Struthio camelus: one gene and its partner. Each later gene encodes a partner of the first gene's protein in a complex. Links are inferred from orthologs where the notes say so. Each region holds a gene or a part of one and is shown on either strand. Other genes may lie near its edges.

Region 1 (7,442 bases):
TATGAAAACTTGGCCATGCAAGATGGGATGGAGGTTTACTGCAAGACATTAGAATTACAGGGAGACACTTCCCCAACACAAGGATATTTTCTCTTACCATCTTCTGCTGTATTGAGTTTAAGGCTCTGGCCTTTAAAGCTCAACTGTGCTCCACCCACTTTGGTTTTGGCAAGTGACTCCGCAAGCTTAGTGATGTCTTCTGATGCCATCTTTTCCGCTTTCCCAAACTTTACAAGCTGTTAATTAAAAAGAAACTGTCAACATTAGAAAAGCAAACGATGATACATAATCTATATTAATAACTGTCTTATATTTAAACACTAGTGGTTTTTTGTTCCTGAGATATCTAATCGAGTTTTCACTGTCATTAGTGTTTTCCCTCATAGCTCACTCATGACAGCTTGGCCAGATTAACATTTCAAAGTTGGATTTGGTTGATTTTTCCAGTCCTGAAGAGGCTCATGTTTTGTTCTGATGAAGTTGGTAAGTGGTTTTAGCTATTGGTTGCTTATGAAGTATAACGAGACCACGTTAAGACACTGTTTTGCATACAACACTTTCACAGTTAAGATGTGACATTCTTTTCTACCCAAATCTAATCCTTTAATTACACGCACCCTGCACATTTCCCCTCTTCTCCACGCCAAACTAGAACGAACACAACTGTTTTCCCCTTTCATTTATATCCCTAGTAGTGCTCATGTCAGCACAGTTCTAGAATCGCTGAGCTGCTGAAAAACATCATGTGTATTAGCTACAAAAGTCTCGCTTAGATTTGTGGGCTTGCTTTCTTTTTGGCTGCCCCACAGAGTCGTACTCAAACACATTAAACAGATATATATATATGACCCTGATATAACCCTGATGATGGATCAGGGAACACTTCACTTCTATGCACAAATTGGTGCTAGCCATGGCTAGTAGCATCTGTAAATCATTATCTGATGACTATCATCACTCTGAAGTGAATGATCCCTGTTCATTCAGCAGGATAAACAGAGCATTTTTCTTTGGTGGTTTCATGGTTTCTTTCCACCTCTGCTGAAATAAGGGGCTGCAAGCAGCTAGTGCTTAGAAGAAAAAGACCTTTAAAAGAGATTTCAGGTGTTAACGAGGATGCAAGTTAATCCCTACAACTGCACAAAACCGGACCCCTTCCACTCTTGTCTAACTTCAAGGTGAGCACAAAAGCTTGCTGCTCTTTAAGCCCCTCCAATGGGGAGGATTTTAGACACCCCCTAAATGAAAGTTGTACATACATCCTTTCCTCCTGCTACCTGGCTGTAAAAGGACCTGCCTCCAGCTCTGCTCAGGTAGTGCCTTTCTCTTAAGGTTTATGAACTTTAGTACTGCTGCTTTTGGACTTGCAGGGGGAGGGGGTTTCAAGGTTCATCAACATTACCATTTCAGGATGACTGACCTCTCAGATAGGAGAGGAGTAATTATTTGAGCATCTTTCTGCTGGCAACATCTATCAAGTCACTCAGGCACCATGCTGATAAACATGCCTAAACTTCTTCCAATCCAATAGCAAAGAGAAGAAACAAACAGAGAGGGTGTTCTCCAACTCACAAAGGCTCTACCACACAGGAACAAAAGTTAAATAGGATCCAGAGAGGTCAGTTCGCTCACCTAAGTGGATTCTCAACTTTACTTTCGAGTATCTCATCACCCAGCTGTTTAAAAATGAGTTCTGTGTTCTGCTGTAATGTTCTTTTATAATCTACAAGCATACTCCCTCCCTCCCTCTGCTTCTCTTCTCCCTAAATCCCTTTTTTCTTTCTTCATCTTATACATGGACTACTTCCTGATTTCAACATCCCATTTCTCCATCACATCCTGAAGCATGTTTTACTGCAAACACATCAGCCACACCCAACTGTTAACCTACCAGAGGTCTCTTCACTGCCAGGTCTTCTGCAAGGAAAGCTTTAAAAAAATAAATAAATAAATAAAATCAACAGAAAAGTTAGTAGAAGTATTCTTGGCAAACAAAAACAAGGTCTAGAAATGCCTGAAGAGACGTTTCCTTATTACTTAACCACTGCATAATGCTGTACACTTCCTGATGGTCAAAAAAAAGTTACTTTAGCTCAATACTTTATTTATAATGGTTTATCCACGCTAATGGACAAGACACCGACTATCAAGCGCACTACCCAAGGGGGAGCCCTGCTGTGCACCCCGGGCAATCCAGAGCCCCACACCCCGCTCCCCGGGGAGCTCGGTGACAGCCCAAGGCTCCCCTCCGGCAAGTCCCCGACAGGCTCCCAGTGCGCCTTTCCCTTAATGACGGCTAATGGCTCCTCTGTACCCCTCAGGAAGGTGCGGCGCACCGGCCGCGCCGCCGCCACGCCTCCCACCTGCTCCCCGAGACTCCCCCGGCTTCACAGAGCCGACCCGGCCGCCTCGCGACGCCGCGAGGGCTGGGGCCGGGCACGCGTGACCCGCACCCGCAGGCCACGCACAGCGGCGTCACCGGGGCGGCGGTGGCAGCGGGGGGGGGGGGAGGGGGAAGGAAGAAGAAGGGCACGTGGGAGCGTCGCGAGGCCGCCCCTCCCCCCGCCGCGAGGAGCCGGGGGCGGTGGCGGGGGGAAGCGGCCGGCGCGAGCAGAGCCTCGCGCGCCCCCGCTCCCGCCCGCCGCTCCCAACGGGCGCCAACCGCCGCCGCCGCCCCGCCTCACCTCCGCGCCGCGAGGGGGGCTGGCGTCGCCGCGGCCGCCGCCGCCGCTCGCTGCCGGTGGAGGCGACCGAGTGGCGTCACCCCAGCTCTCCCGCCGCCGCCGCTGCCGACAGACCGGGGGTGGGGGGGGGGAAGGGAGGGAGGAGGCGGAGGATTTGAAAGCCGGCAGTTTTGTTCTCCCCTCTCGGATTGGCTGCCCGGCGTGACGTCACAAACCCCCGTCCCTCGCCGCCCCGCGCGAGGCGGTGAGCGTCAGCGTGCCGCAAGCCGCCGGCCGGCCGCGCCGTGCGCGGCGGAGCTACGGGTGCCACACTGTCCGGCCAGGCGCGGGGCACGCCGGGCGATGTAGTTCTGCGGAGCGGGGCGGTAGTTCCCGGCATGCCTAGCGCGCAGCGCCGCCCTGGGTGGCGGCCTAGGCCCGGGGCCGGGGTGCTGGAGATATAGATAGATAGATATATAGCTATAGATATATCTATATATATAGATATAATATCTCCAGTGGGCTGGATATATTCAGCCATTTGGTCCCAAAACATGACAGTCTTTTTTTTTTTTGTTCCTTCATTATTCTGTGACTGAGGTTTTAAGAAACAATATCAAATGCTGTTTATCCAGACCCAAGACAAAACTTGAACTAATTGGCAATGCTGACTGACACGGGAGGCCACGCTGAGGCTGAAGACACGCTAGTCCTTCTTCATTCTAGGAGAAAAGGATAAATAAGTTTCTTTATGGAGCATGACAGCCGAAAATATAAAAGCCACCAACTGGTACAGCAGCTAGATAGAAAGCTTGAGCTAAAGCTAACTCATAAGTAGTAAGAGGAATTTCTCTTGCAACTGAAGAAAATGAAGAAGCTGAGGCACTGACTAGATTCTGCTTGTGCGTAAGGAGCATAAAGCTATCAGAAAACGTAGAGCAGATGAGGAGATAAATTAGCGTGATCTTGAGAGGGAGCCTGAACTCAGAAACTATGAGCGAGGAAATTGCTCCTATTATTCCTCCTGATCTTTAGCAATAAACAGGATCATATCAAATCTATCTCATTCCATTCTCTATTTTTCTCCCAAATATTGTCTAGCTACATGGGGCCAAAGGGGCAAGAGCAAAGACTTCAACTGTGGATGCAGCTATACTGGACTAAAGGTATATTATGCCATTGTAGCAGATTCCTTCTCCTCAAAGGAATAGCTTCACAAATCAAACTCACTTTTATGCAACTGTAACTCAGTTCAGAGTAGGAATTTGCCACCTTTTGACTCTGCTGACTATGTGCATACTAGACGTAGATAACCTCATTTGCCAGTTATGAGAATTTGGACATTAACCAGTAAGGAAAGATGTTATTCATGAGTGGGGCAATACATACTGGATCATGACTTTATGAGACAGCCCTCGGTATTATAAGCGAGGAAAAAGTGGGGTGGAAGAGGCTGTAATGCGATGCTCAGTGAGGAAATTCAATCTTAAAAAATGAATGTTCTTGAATAAAAGAACCGTACTAATTCCAGCGGAATTCCTTATTATGTATAGATTTTGTTTTCGTTCCTCTTTTTCCTCAGTTCGTCCTAAGCCCTCTTGTTCTTCTCATGCAACTGCTACGTCTTGCCTTTCAGACGTTCAACTCTCACAGCAGGGTTGGAGGCATCTTAGGCGCCGTGACTCATCTGAAGCTTATTGGCTCCATGACGCTCCCCTTCCTATGTGATCTGACATGTCAGATCTCCCCATGTTTATCTGTTTCCACCAGGCCTGCTCAACCTTCCTTCTGCCTAAAGCCTCCCCTCAACAGGAATTGTCATTTAATGTACATTTTGCACAGCACCTTCTGCAGTGGAGGCCCAACTTGGCTGGACTTGTCATTGCCTAAGAATCCAAGGTAACAAATTGCTGAATAGTTAACAAAAAATAAATATTGTCCTATCTAAAAATAACAGTCATCTTTGGATCGTATCAGAGAACATAATGAATATCTAAAAAAAAGTACATTGTGATTAAATACTGTGAACAGTGTAAGAAAGTGTTCTCCAATGTCATATGGTACATTATATAATTTACAGCCTATATATCATAAATTTTCGGTTTATTGTGTCAAAAGAGCTGCCAGAAGCCAAACCTACTCAGTATAACAAAGTCTATCCTGTTCTGACCGGAATGCTTTAAACATTAAGCAGGTTTAATACATTTCAGACGATACTTTCTACCTGCGTTCGAACATTGGCTGAGTTACTTATCTGCAAAGCACAAAGTGATGCTGTTTTGGGTCACTGTAAATGGCCAAGTGAGACACTGAGAGGTAAACATGTCACTGATTACATTTGTAAAGAGGTGATAATTTAAACCAGCATCAGTCTGGAAATTACAATCTGACAGTAGACAAAATCCTTAGGGAGAGGAAAACCTAGCCTACCGGGGAGGGTGGATGAGGAGCTGAGCATGAAACTCATTCCAGAGGCTTATTTGAAGTTAATGATGTTGCAGCTGGACAGGGATGGATGAAACCCCTGTCTAAGGGGGTTTGTGTATCTCTGTGTTCGCAATCATCTGCCATGACCCAAGAACAAATGATGATAAAGCCGTTCCTGGGGTTCTGCCTGCATGGAGCGTTGTGGAGAATCAGGCCATTTCCTGAGACTGTTGAAGGATTTGGGATGAGAAACCAAAAATCAGATTTCAAAAAAGCACCTAAATACATATGTGTATTAAAAACTGTTGTAAGTCTATAAATATATGCATTGTATATGTATATAACATATGTGATGATATTACATACAATATACATAATTACATAATATAATAATATGTAATAGATCTATACACTGTGTACGTCTTCCACAAAAAAGTTTACGTTTTTAGAATATATTGTGTCCAGGAAAACCCCTCAGCAGTGTGGGGTGGATTAAATAAGCTCTGTTTGCAATTGCTCTGCCCCCCCGCCAGCAAACATATATGTATGGGCAGAAGGGCCACTTCATGCATGGGATAATCCCATGAGGGTCGCATCATTCCATTCAGTTCATTGCTGCTCCTCACATGCATAAATTACTGTGCAAAGGCAGCTTGGGATCTTTTGCTTTCTTTTGGGGTGTGTTTTATATCCACAAAGCCAGACATCCGGCAACGAGGAAATTGCCTTATTAAAATAAGAATGAGCTTCAAACAGTTAAGCGTGTTAATTTTTTTTTTTTTGTTAAAGCTAATTCACGTAAAAAGAATTTCAAAAACAACCACAAGGGAAAGATTGTATGAATTTTTGTAATGGAAACCGGTAGCCTCTAGGGCCCAGAGGATATGCAGGGAGGCATTTTCTCTTGCTGGTGCAGCTGAGAGAGAGAGAGGGAGGGAGGGAGGGAGGGAGGGAGGGAGACCTGGAAATGAAAGTAAAGAGATCAGGAGGCACATGGAGGGAGCTGCAGGGGCAGCCGATCCAGAAGCAGAATGCTTCCTTCTATAATTAAATAACACTTACTATTATTATTACTTATAGTAATAATACTTTAATAATATTTCTAGTAATATAATACCATTTATCAAGAAAAGTTATACATAGTGTGAGGGGGAAAACCCAAGGAGAGGTAAGTCTTATTATTGTTTTGGGGGGTTATTTTTTCTTAAACCATATATAAATATATATATATATATATATATATAAATATGTCTATAAAATATAAACGTATTTATGTATGTATAAAGGGTGGGCTTTGAAAAAACAAGAACATCTTGATGTTGCTTCATTTAAAAGTAAACATTTCAAATAGCAACTACATAGAGGAAACGTTTTGTAATTCCAAATGTAAAAAAAAAAAAAAAGTGGAGAAAAAAAAATTGACGGGATTTTGAAGCTGCCCCCACTCTTCCGCCAAAATTGTGGGGTTTGCAAAAAAATAATTGTCAGAGATCCTAATCCCACCCCCCGGAGAAAAATGTGGTAGTAGTCTAAAAGTGAACAGCTTGCTAAAAAGCCCTTGGGTTTGCATTAAAAACTTAGTATTAATGGTGTTTGTGCCGGCTGCTGGTTGTAAGATTTCAAAGCTCTGTTCACGATCTGCGTTTAGCCTGCCGTGTCCCCCCTCTTATTTGCTATAAACCCCATGAAGCAGCCCTTGTGCCATAGCTTCCCAGATGCATCTTCCTCGGGGGCTTGTAAAGTTTATCAAATAAGTTGTTGTTGTTGCTGGTTTTTTTTTTAATTCTTTGATGCTTTTATACCGTTTCCGGGTAGAAGGGGAGGTTTTTAATATATATATATGTATATTATATATGTTTTTTCTTTTTTTTCTTAAAGTAGCCTCCCAGGCTCCCGGAAATATGTGGGTTTTATTTAAATAGGTTGGCGGCGGCTGGGGGTGGGGGGTGGTGGGGGAAGGAGAAGGGAGAGTGTTTTGGGGGTTATTTTGCTTTTTTTTTTTTTTTTCCGGGGAAAGCCTGGCTGTGTCTTGCCGCCGGAGAGCCCCCCGCGCTGCTCCTGCCCCGCAGCAGGCCCCGGGGGCGCCGCCGGCCCCTCTCGGCCGCGGCCGGGCGAGGCGGCGCTGGCGCCCGCGGCGGCCGCCAGGCGAGGCCGGGGATCGGCGGCCTACGGCGCGGGGTGGCGGGGGGGAAGAAGAGGGAAGCGCTACTTCCCGCGTCTGCGAACCGACCCGGGGCTTTAATTATAAAAGCGAGGCAGGGCTGGGTGGACAGGAAATGAGGAGGAAGCGGTTGAGGGAGAGAAAGCAGCACCTTCCCCCCCACCCGGCCCCGGGCTGGGGCGGGAGGGCGG
Region 2 (7,693 bases), on another chromosome or scaffold:
GCATTGCAAAAGGTTTCACTTTGGGAACAGACAGTGTTTTCTAATGGCTTTTCCCTTTGCTTCCAAAAAGGCTGTGATGCACTGTAAGGATTCTTTGGTCTTTCTTCAACAAAATAATTCCTTTAAAACTGTTACGCTCCCAAACAAAGCTGGTACCATCACTAGTGGACTATCTTCCTTTTCTATCGGGTGCACGAAAAGCTCTTCAAACATAACTGATATCCTTAACTGCACCTTTCATATAGAGCTATTGATATGCTAATAAAGGCAGGAAGAAAATATGGGGGGGCAGGTGTTAAGTGCAAGTTTGATATTTCAGAAGGTAAAACTGAAGAGGATAAAAATATGTCTGTGTCCTCCTGATCTTTTTTTTTTTTTTTTGTAAAGCAAGAGCTAAGTTTCATTCTGAGCTGGTCTTCAGTGAAAATTTTCCAGCATTAGTCTTAGCAGAGCCAAAGTACAGTTCACCCTTCTCAATGCTACATTTTGAGGTAAGCATAGTTTAAATACGTGCCTGTGGTAACAGTAACTGCTCTTGAACAGAAATGCATCATCCTCCAGTTTTAGCAGAGCACTAAACATCTGTGAGAGCGTTATTTTGTCCTTTTTTAATTTATCAAATACTTGGGTGTTTAGAATTAGTCTGATCACTGGGAAAGATGAATTATCTCTTGGTAATTCAGATGTAAATTCGGAACTCCTTGATTGTCTAAAGTAGGCATGGCCAGGGAACGCAGACAGGTAAAAGACGGCAGCTAGGAAAGAAATGAATCTATGCTTAGCTACCTTTGTCTCCAACATGAATGCAAACACCTCCTCTGAGGAGGTTACGCTCTGTCATTACAATCTAGGTTTTACCAAGGGTCTGGGTGACAGGAATAAGGACACTGATGTCAAACAATATTTGAAACAAGCTGAAAAAACAGGCCAGAAAACATGAGCCATTTGAGACTGCTGTACATGCAAGGATACGCTCGCATCCTTCCCCTTGTTCTAGGGGAGACGGCACCCATTTGTGGCCATCATTTTACTTTCCTCTTCAGCAGCCACAGGAAAAAAAAATAAGGTATTAGAAAAGTGCAATAATGCTATATATATATATATATATATATATATATGTATGTATGTATGTGCGTAAGCTCAGGCTCTGTTCTTTTCAAACCCCCCTCCCTGCCCTGCAAGAGCACAGAGAACAGTTCATTAAGGTTTATAATATAAAGCTGCAGATAAATTCAAATTTTCACAGGTTAATCAAAGAAAATTGAGTACTGCACTTCAGCAGTGCTCTACAGTAGTAGCTATGTGTATCTGCTTTCCCCACCGGTTTCACCAGCCCCAGCTTTTCCTCTTTCTACTATGGGAAAACAGCAAGGGGCTATAAGTAGCAAAGCAAGCAACTTTTGGGGGACTTTCACTGTTTTGTTACTTTCGCTGTTCACCTGTTGCTTTAGTTTTGAACAGTGAATGGGAGTTTTCCTAGCTCAAAACTTTCCTGCACCTATCGTGCTACAACGCTAGCTGAAAACACTCTTCTGCTCCACTTGAATTTTAATAAGCACTTGCCCCATCCACAGCTGAGTTTTGTGCTTTACATTTCCCTGAACAAACTCACAAAGGTGACCTGACAATATCTTTGCCATTTTACAGCACGTTTCAGTTAACAATGTTTGAAAACTTATATTCAGCAGCAGGACAGCTTCTGAAGCCACCTAATGCAGTTTCATTTGCCTTTCATCCCACTTGCTTAGCACTGTTATTTCCAGTGAGCAGCTAGCCAACAGAGCCTTCCTGGCCAAACTATGAAATAAAAGTCTGTGGTGTCTACAAAGGTGAATTCTTCAGTTTGGGATTTTGCTCTTTGTTTACTGCACAGCAGCTGTGAAAAACTACTTATGCAGCAACTGGTTCTTTCAAGCTCAGAACACCTTCACTTCTCACGTTCACTCTGAAACGCCCGATACTAAGCACAGCCTCAAGAACCTCTTGGAGCAACAGCTCCTCACAGAGGAAGTGACTATGCTTGGCAAACCATAGCACGCAAGCAGTACGCTCGCTCCCTTCAGACAGGCACAGAGATGGTTCAGCCATCAGCCAGGGCTCCAGGTCACTTAGAAACACCAACAGTGAACATCTGTGACAGCATCCCCCTTTCTTCCGCTCTGTATACATATGCGAACCATATTATGATCCTCACGTTTCTATCCCCCGTCATGACTTTCCCTCATCCAATAAAACCCTATATACACATACATTGTCCCTCCTGCTCCAAGAAAACACACGTGCTCCAAATCTCTTGCCTTCATACCCCCACTACGACAGAAAGTGAGCAAGGGGAGGAGTTTGCTAATGGACTCAGTAGGCACATCCAGCAGTCAAACTGATCTGCGCAGGACACGCAAAGTAACCGTGACCGTAAGCACAGAGCGCCACGGAGGGGCAAAAAGGCCAACAGCCTGGGGCAAGAACGAGCACTGCAGCCCAGCCTGCTTCACCGGCTCCAGGGCCAGGGCGGAAAAGGATGCTGGATGATGCAGACGCCTTAAAAAGGCCCGGCGCCAGCCCTGCCGCCCGGGAACAGGGCTTCTGAGCGGGCCAAGGGCCAGGGCAGACCCAGAGAGACAGCAGCAGGAATGAGAGAAACCCCAGGGAACGAGACAAAACCGGGCCTAAGCTTACGATGCAACACAGCAACCACCTCAGCTTCCGCCTCCCAGAGCGGAGGCGACCGAGGCCCGCCGGGCGGCCGCTCCCCGGCGGCCAGGCCCCGCCGCCGGCGGGCACCGTGGCGGAGGCCAAGGCGGCTGCGGCCGAGCCTGCGCGAGGGAGCCGGAGCGGCGGGGCGGCCCCACGGCTAAGGGGGCGCGGCGGGGCGGCTCGCTGACCTGCGGGGCGGCCTCTTGCGCGGCGGCGGCGGCGGGGCCGGGGGCGGCGCGGCACGGCGGGCGGCGGCGAGGAGGGCGCCCAGGGCCCCCAGCAGCCATTGGTACATAGGCCCGGCCGCCGCGGCGGAAGTGCGCGCATCCCGCGCGACCGGCCCGCCGCTCCCCCCCTCCCCCCCTCATTGGCTGTGGCGGCGCGCGGCCTCCCGCCCCCGCGGGAAGCAGAGGCGGAAGCGGGGCGCCTGCGCGCCGGGCGGGGGCGGGGCGCACAGCGCATGCGCGCCGCTCGGCGGCCGGCGGCGTGAGGCGCCTCGTGGAGGCGGGGGGGGGTGGGGGGCGGTCTGCCGTCCCGTGGCCTGGCCCCTCCGCCTAGGGCGGGGAGGGGAGGGGAGGGGGGGGAGGAAGAGGAGGAATGAAGAAGGAGCAGCAGCAGCTGATCCGCTGGCAGAAGCTTTATTCGACGCCTTCAGAGCTTTCCTGTCTTTCGGTGCAGCCCGGGCAGGCGCTGGGGTGCTCCTGGGCCTGGTGCACAGGCCTCTGCGTGGAGCAGAGGGCAGAGCTGCGTGCCGAGGCCTGCTGGGCTCCAGGGGTTTTACAGCCCCCGGTGCCCGGAGAAGGGAGGCAGCAGCCTGGAGCTGCTGGGCCCTTCCTGGTCCTTGGTGTCCCTTGTCCCACGTGGAAGGGGAAGAGAGGCTGCTCCTGCTGTGTGGGAGAAGCGTGCGCCATCCCAAAAGACTGGAAGAGGTCTTTGGCCTGAGTAACACTGCGGCGTTATCACTAGAAGGACAATGGTGAGGGAGATCAAGCAACTCGAAGAGCACGTTGGAGCCAGTATCTGCCCTTTTCCCTGGCAGTCTCCAAGCAGGTGTTTTGGAGATCCAGATCCTGGCCTTGCAAAGTCCTGCCCTGCTTCAGCAACAGAGCTCTTGAGCCCATTCTCTCTGCTGCTCCCTTTGCTTTTGCCTTGCCGTGTGATTTGCTCGGCGTCTAAGATTTCTGGAGTGGGCACACTGAAGTTTCTCTGGTAGATTACTCTCTTGATAGGTTTGGCTTGCTGTTAGAGCAATACCTTGTTCTGCATTGCTGTTAACAGAGTTCTTGGTACTTGCTGATCACTTGGTCTAGCAGACAGTCACAAGAGAGGAGGCTTGACAAATATTGTCTATTATCTTTGTGGTAGAAATCACTGGTTTTGGACCAATTATTTGGATAGTACAAAGGGGGTTCATTGACCCTCTTGACATGGTTGCATGAGAGGTGGGGAGGGCTGGGAAGACTTCTTGCCTGGACGATTACTCAAAATCTCACAGCAGTTTAGTTTCAGGTTAATACATGACTTACCTAATATGACTGCCCGCTCCTTGGATTATTCAGTTTCTCCACAGTTTCATCAAAGAGACCGACTGTTCAAAAACAGGGGTCATGCCCATCCATCGTTAAGGAAAGTTGAGGTGCTGTTGCTTGACCTTTAGAGTGGTCAGCTACTTGGTGTGCTCGCATGCTCTGCTATTGCGGAGATGCCAATGTCTACTTTATGGGTTCCTCTGGGGGGAAAAAAGGCACCTTAAAAGTGAATATTTTCATGGCTTCAAAAATCAGCTGAGAATGAAGAGATCTCATTTTTAGTTGGGCCTTTTGGCTTTTTCTTTCTTTCTATTTTTTTTTTAACCCAAAGCATGGGTGGGGGTGGGGGTGTGCTGCCTGTGTAACTTTATCAATTACATCTTTTCCAAAATGGCCACTCATTGTTCAGAGGTCAGATGACTGCAGGAACTCAAAGGTGCACTGATGGCTACACTGGAGACTGAGACGATCCACTGTGCTGGCAGCAGGGGATGCTGCAGGCATTGCTGTAGCCACCTCCTGGAGAGACTTTCCACATCAGAACTGAAAACAATAAAGTGTAAGAAAACTAAACTGCCTTAAGGAAGCTGCAGAATAAAGCCTTAGTGAGCTGGGAGGACTAATGTGCTTGGAACAGGGAAGGCGCTTTCACAGGATGCACTTGTTGCAAGAGGACCCGCTAGCTGTTCATGCCTACAGGGAGTATAAATGACGGTGGTACAAAGAGCCTTGTTATATTAAAATGACCTTGCTCATTATACTAGGAACTTAATTACCGCTCCATTTACGGTTTAGGGCACTGGCCAAGGAAGGGAATGACTGAGACTTGGACACAAAGCTTCAATTTGAGAGATGGGTCAGCACCCAGTGGCGCAGGGACTAAGGCAGCATGTGGGAAGGCTTTAAATGAGGTGCAGCAAGGCCTGCAAAGGTCTGGAGAAGCAGTCCAGCAGAGGGCACAGCAGCACCATGCAGGGCCTGCAGTGAGCCTGTGGCTTGGAAATACTTCTTCCAGTCAGTTATTCCATCTTTCATTTCTGCCCGGCCTGTATGTTTTAGGTGAATCCTGCAGCAGAGAGATGGAGTGGGTGCAGGGAAATTTATTTAAATCCCTGCCTAAGGAAAGGCATGAGGTTTAGCTCTGCAAAGTCAAGACTTACCTGCGACACTGCTGTTTCAGTGCACAGTGAAGTGTGCAGATAGAAAGCAAGAGCACTGAACTCACTAGACAACATAATGCAATCCAGTAATCATGGAAAAGAGGAAGGCTGGACTCTTGGGAAAGGGGTCTTCCCTGAACCCAAGGCAGGCTTGTCATACATAAGGCTCACTCAGTTGTCCTGCACTTCTTGCTTCCCTGTCTGCAGGTGATGCGCTGGCAGCACAGACAGCGCAGTGGCTTCTCTCCGGCTCTGCCCGATGCCAAGCGCAGGCGTCCAGCTGGCTGATGTGCAGTCCTGGCACAGGGAAATGGCAGCAGAGCAGCTGGGGAGCACATGCATTGGAGCAGGGTTCATGCGTGCAGGAGTTGCTCTGGCAGGCGTGGTCACCCCAGCTGCAGTCTCCCCCATCATGTGGTCTAACCCATTGCAGGAGAAGTCTTAAGGTTCAGAAAAAAAAAAAAAAAAAGAGAACTCTCGTCAGGAAATCTGTTTGCTATTTTAAACAAGCTTCCCTTATTTTAAACAAACTTCTGATAACACCACTTCCTTATCCTCACAAGAATAGTGCGAGGATAATTATTTTAATGCTTCACAAAAGGTCCGTATTTATGTCTGTGAGCGTGCTTGAAAAGTAACTGTCAGTAAAAACAGGGTTAATGCAACTGCAAGGCTCCATTTTGAAATCCATATAAGCCTGTACAACCCAAAGGATTTGTCCTAGACACATGAGGAGAGTTAACATGGAGTTACATGATCATGATAAAGTGATGCCACTTGAATAATTAATTTTGGAAATAGATGAATGGTAATTTTAGGTATCTGAAAGCATAGCTATAATATACTTATCATTAAAATCTCTTTATTGTACATGAGTTTAAGATGATGTCAAGGTGGCATAGTACCTAGATAGATAGATAGCCCTAGGCATTGTGCCCTACAAAGCAACCAATGTGTGCTGCGCTAGCCTAGTACAGCGCTGGTCATCTCGTCAATCTAGCTGTCAGTGCTCATGCTTTCAGTTACTTCATACAAATATTGGTTCCCAGTTGCAAAGAGGAGGAGTTTAAATTGTGGGTTTGGAGCACAGCGCTCCCAAACCAGCAGTACGAGTCTCAGCAGCATACATTTGCTGATGCTTTCACATTCAGTTACTAATCTTCAGAATTCTTTGCCTTGGGTATAATCCCACTAAATATGATTCAATTTGTCAACATAGCTACCTTATGACTAGTATGTGTTTGGCTGGTCAGCCCATTTTATACAATCACACTCTATCAAGTGGGATATCGTGTGACAGCAGAAGTGGTTGGAAAAAATATTTTTCATCCTAGATAACTCTGAGGCTGAAACTTGCCTGCTGTTTTCCACTGTCCCAATTCAGCAAGATTACACTTTATAACACAGTGCCTGTAGTTAAAGTGCATTTATAATACTGTTTCACATTGGTTATATTTTTTGTTCCCTGTAATTTACATAGCTGAAGGTTAAGTTCACAGCTTAATTCTTTATTATCCCTTTTGGTTTCTTGGTCCGTATGTACATAAATGTAAGCACATCTCTGTTCAGCAACCCATTTGAGCACGTGTTTACATTTTGCTGTAGCCAGTGGGACATACTTCATTCAAGTGCCCGTGTCTTCAGTGTGTCTGGCTGGGTAATCTTACGTGCATGTGAACATGAAACGTGACAGCACATTGTGGGAGTAGAGATGACCTTTCTTTGAGGACCTCTCAGCTTGTCTGTGCCTTCCCCGTAAAATGGCTGCTGTCCCCTCGATAAGCAGTCCAGAAGGCAGACTCCATTTTACACTCGCGTGTCATTCTGGGCAGAGTACAGAGAACCCATTACTGAATAAAAAACCTATTTTTAAAGCACCACATTCTGTTTCTCAAGCTCTAAAATTGTAGGGCATTGACTGACCTCCTACCTCAGCTAAGAAGGGCAAATTTGCATTCATGCCTGTCTTCTCATCTGCCCACTAACATCTCCAAGACATTCTTCCTTGCCCACGGGCTGTCATCATGTCACTTTTCGATCAGCTGAGAAGGTCCACCACAGCGTTCTCCACCCCTGTGTGGACTGAGGAGGACTCTGGAAGCAGGGCAGGGAGGTCCCTCAGCTGGCTAACAACACACTTCCTTGGTGCTCGCCATAGCAAGGAGCTGGTGGGGAAGTGACACATCGTCTCACCTAACTGCAGCTGTGTCGACGCACGATGTCCGGTATAAGTCTGATCTTGGCTCTCTACCATCCACCTCCCAAGGGTGACGCAGCTCATTTCTCCTAGAGCCTCATGTTGGGAGATGC

What was found. Proteins that work in one complex are often made in the same cells at the same time.
Region 2: the proteins of RANGAP1 (region 1) and SENP2 are in contact, whole or in part, in a crystal structure (PDB 2IO3), measured with the Homo sapiens proteins. The link is inferred for Struthio camelus from reciprocal best matches to the Homo sapiens genes RANGAP1 and SENP2. Residues at the interface, in NP_001265580.1 of Homo sapiens: Glu467, Asn508, Thr511, Thr514, Arg515, Val518, His519, Leu523, Lys524, Ser525, Glu526, Asp527, Val529; in NP_067640.2 of Homo sapiens: Tyr408, His409, Trp410, Val477, His478, Asp495, Met497, Gly498, Gln499, Lys500, Pro536, His537, Gln541, Gln542, Asn544, Gly545.

What each region holds. Positions count from the first base shown.
Region 1 is NC_090942.1:56,877,868-56,885,309, reverse strand, and holds the start of RANGAP1 (ran GTPase-activating protein 1), read right to left. Parts: upstream 3,012-7,442; 5' UTR 2,685-3,011; intron 2,641-2,684; exon of another isoform or gene 2,364-2,640; intron 1,930-2,363; 5' UTR 1,892-1,929; intron 237-1,891; 5' UTR 210-236; coding exon 98-209; intron 1-97. UniProt on the Homo sapiens protein: GTPase activator for RAN. Converts cytoplasmic GTP-bound RAN to GDP-bound RAN, which is essential for RAN-mediated nuclear import and export. Mediates dissociation of cargo from nuclear export complexes containing XPO1, RAN and RANBP2 after nuclear export.
Region 2 is NC_090950.1:3,002,004-3,009,696, reverse strand, and holds the start of SENP2 (sentrin-specific protease 2), read right to left. Parts: upstream 3,008-7,693; 5' UTR 2,990-3,007; coding exon 2,883-2,989; intron 1-2,882. UniProt on the Homo sapiens protein: Protease that catalyzes two essential functions in the SUMO pathway.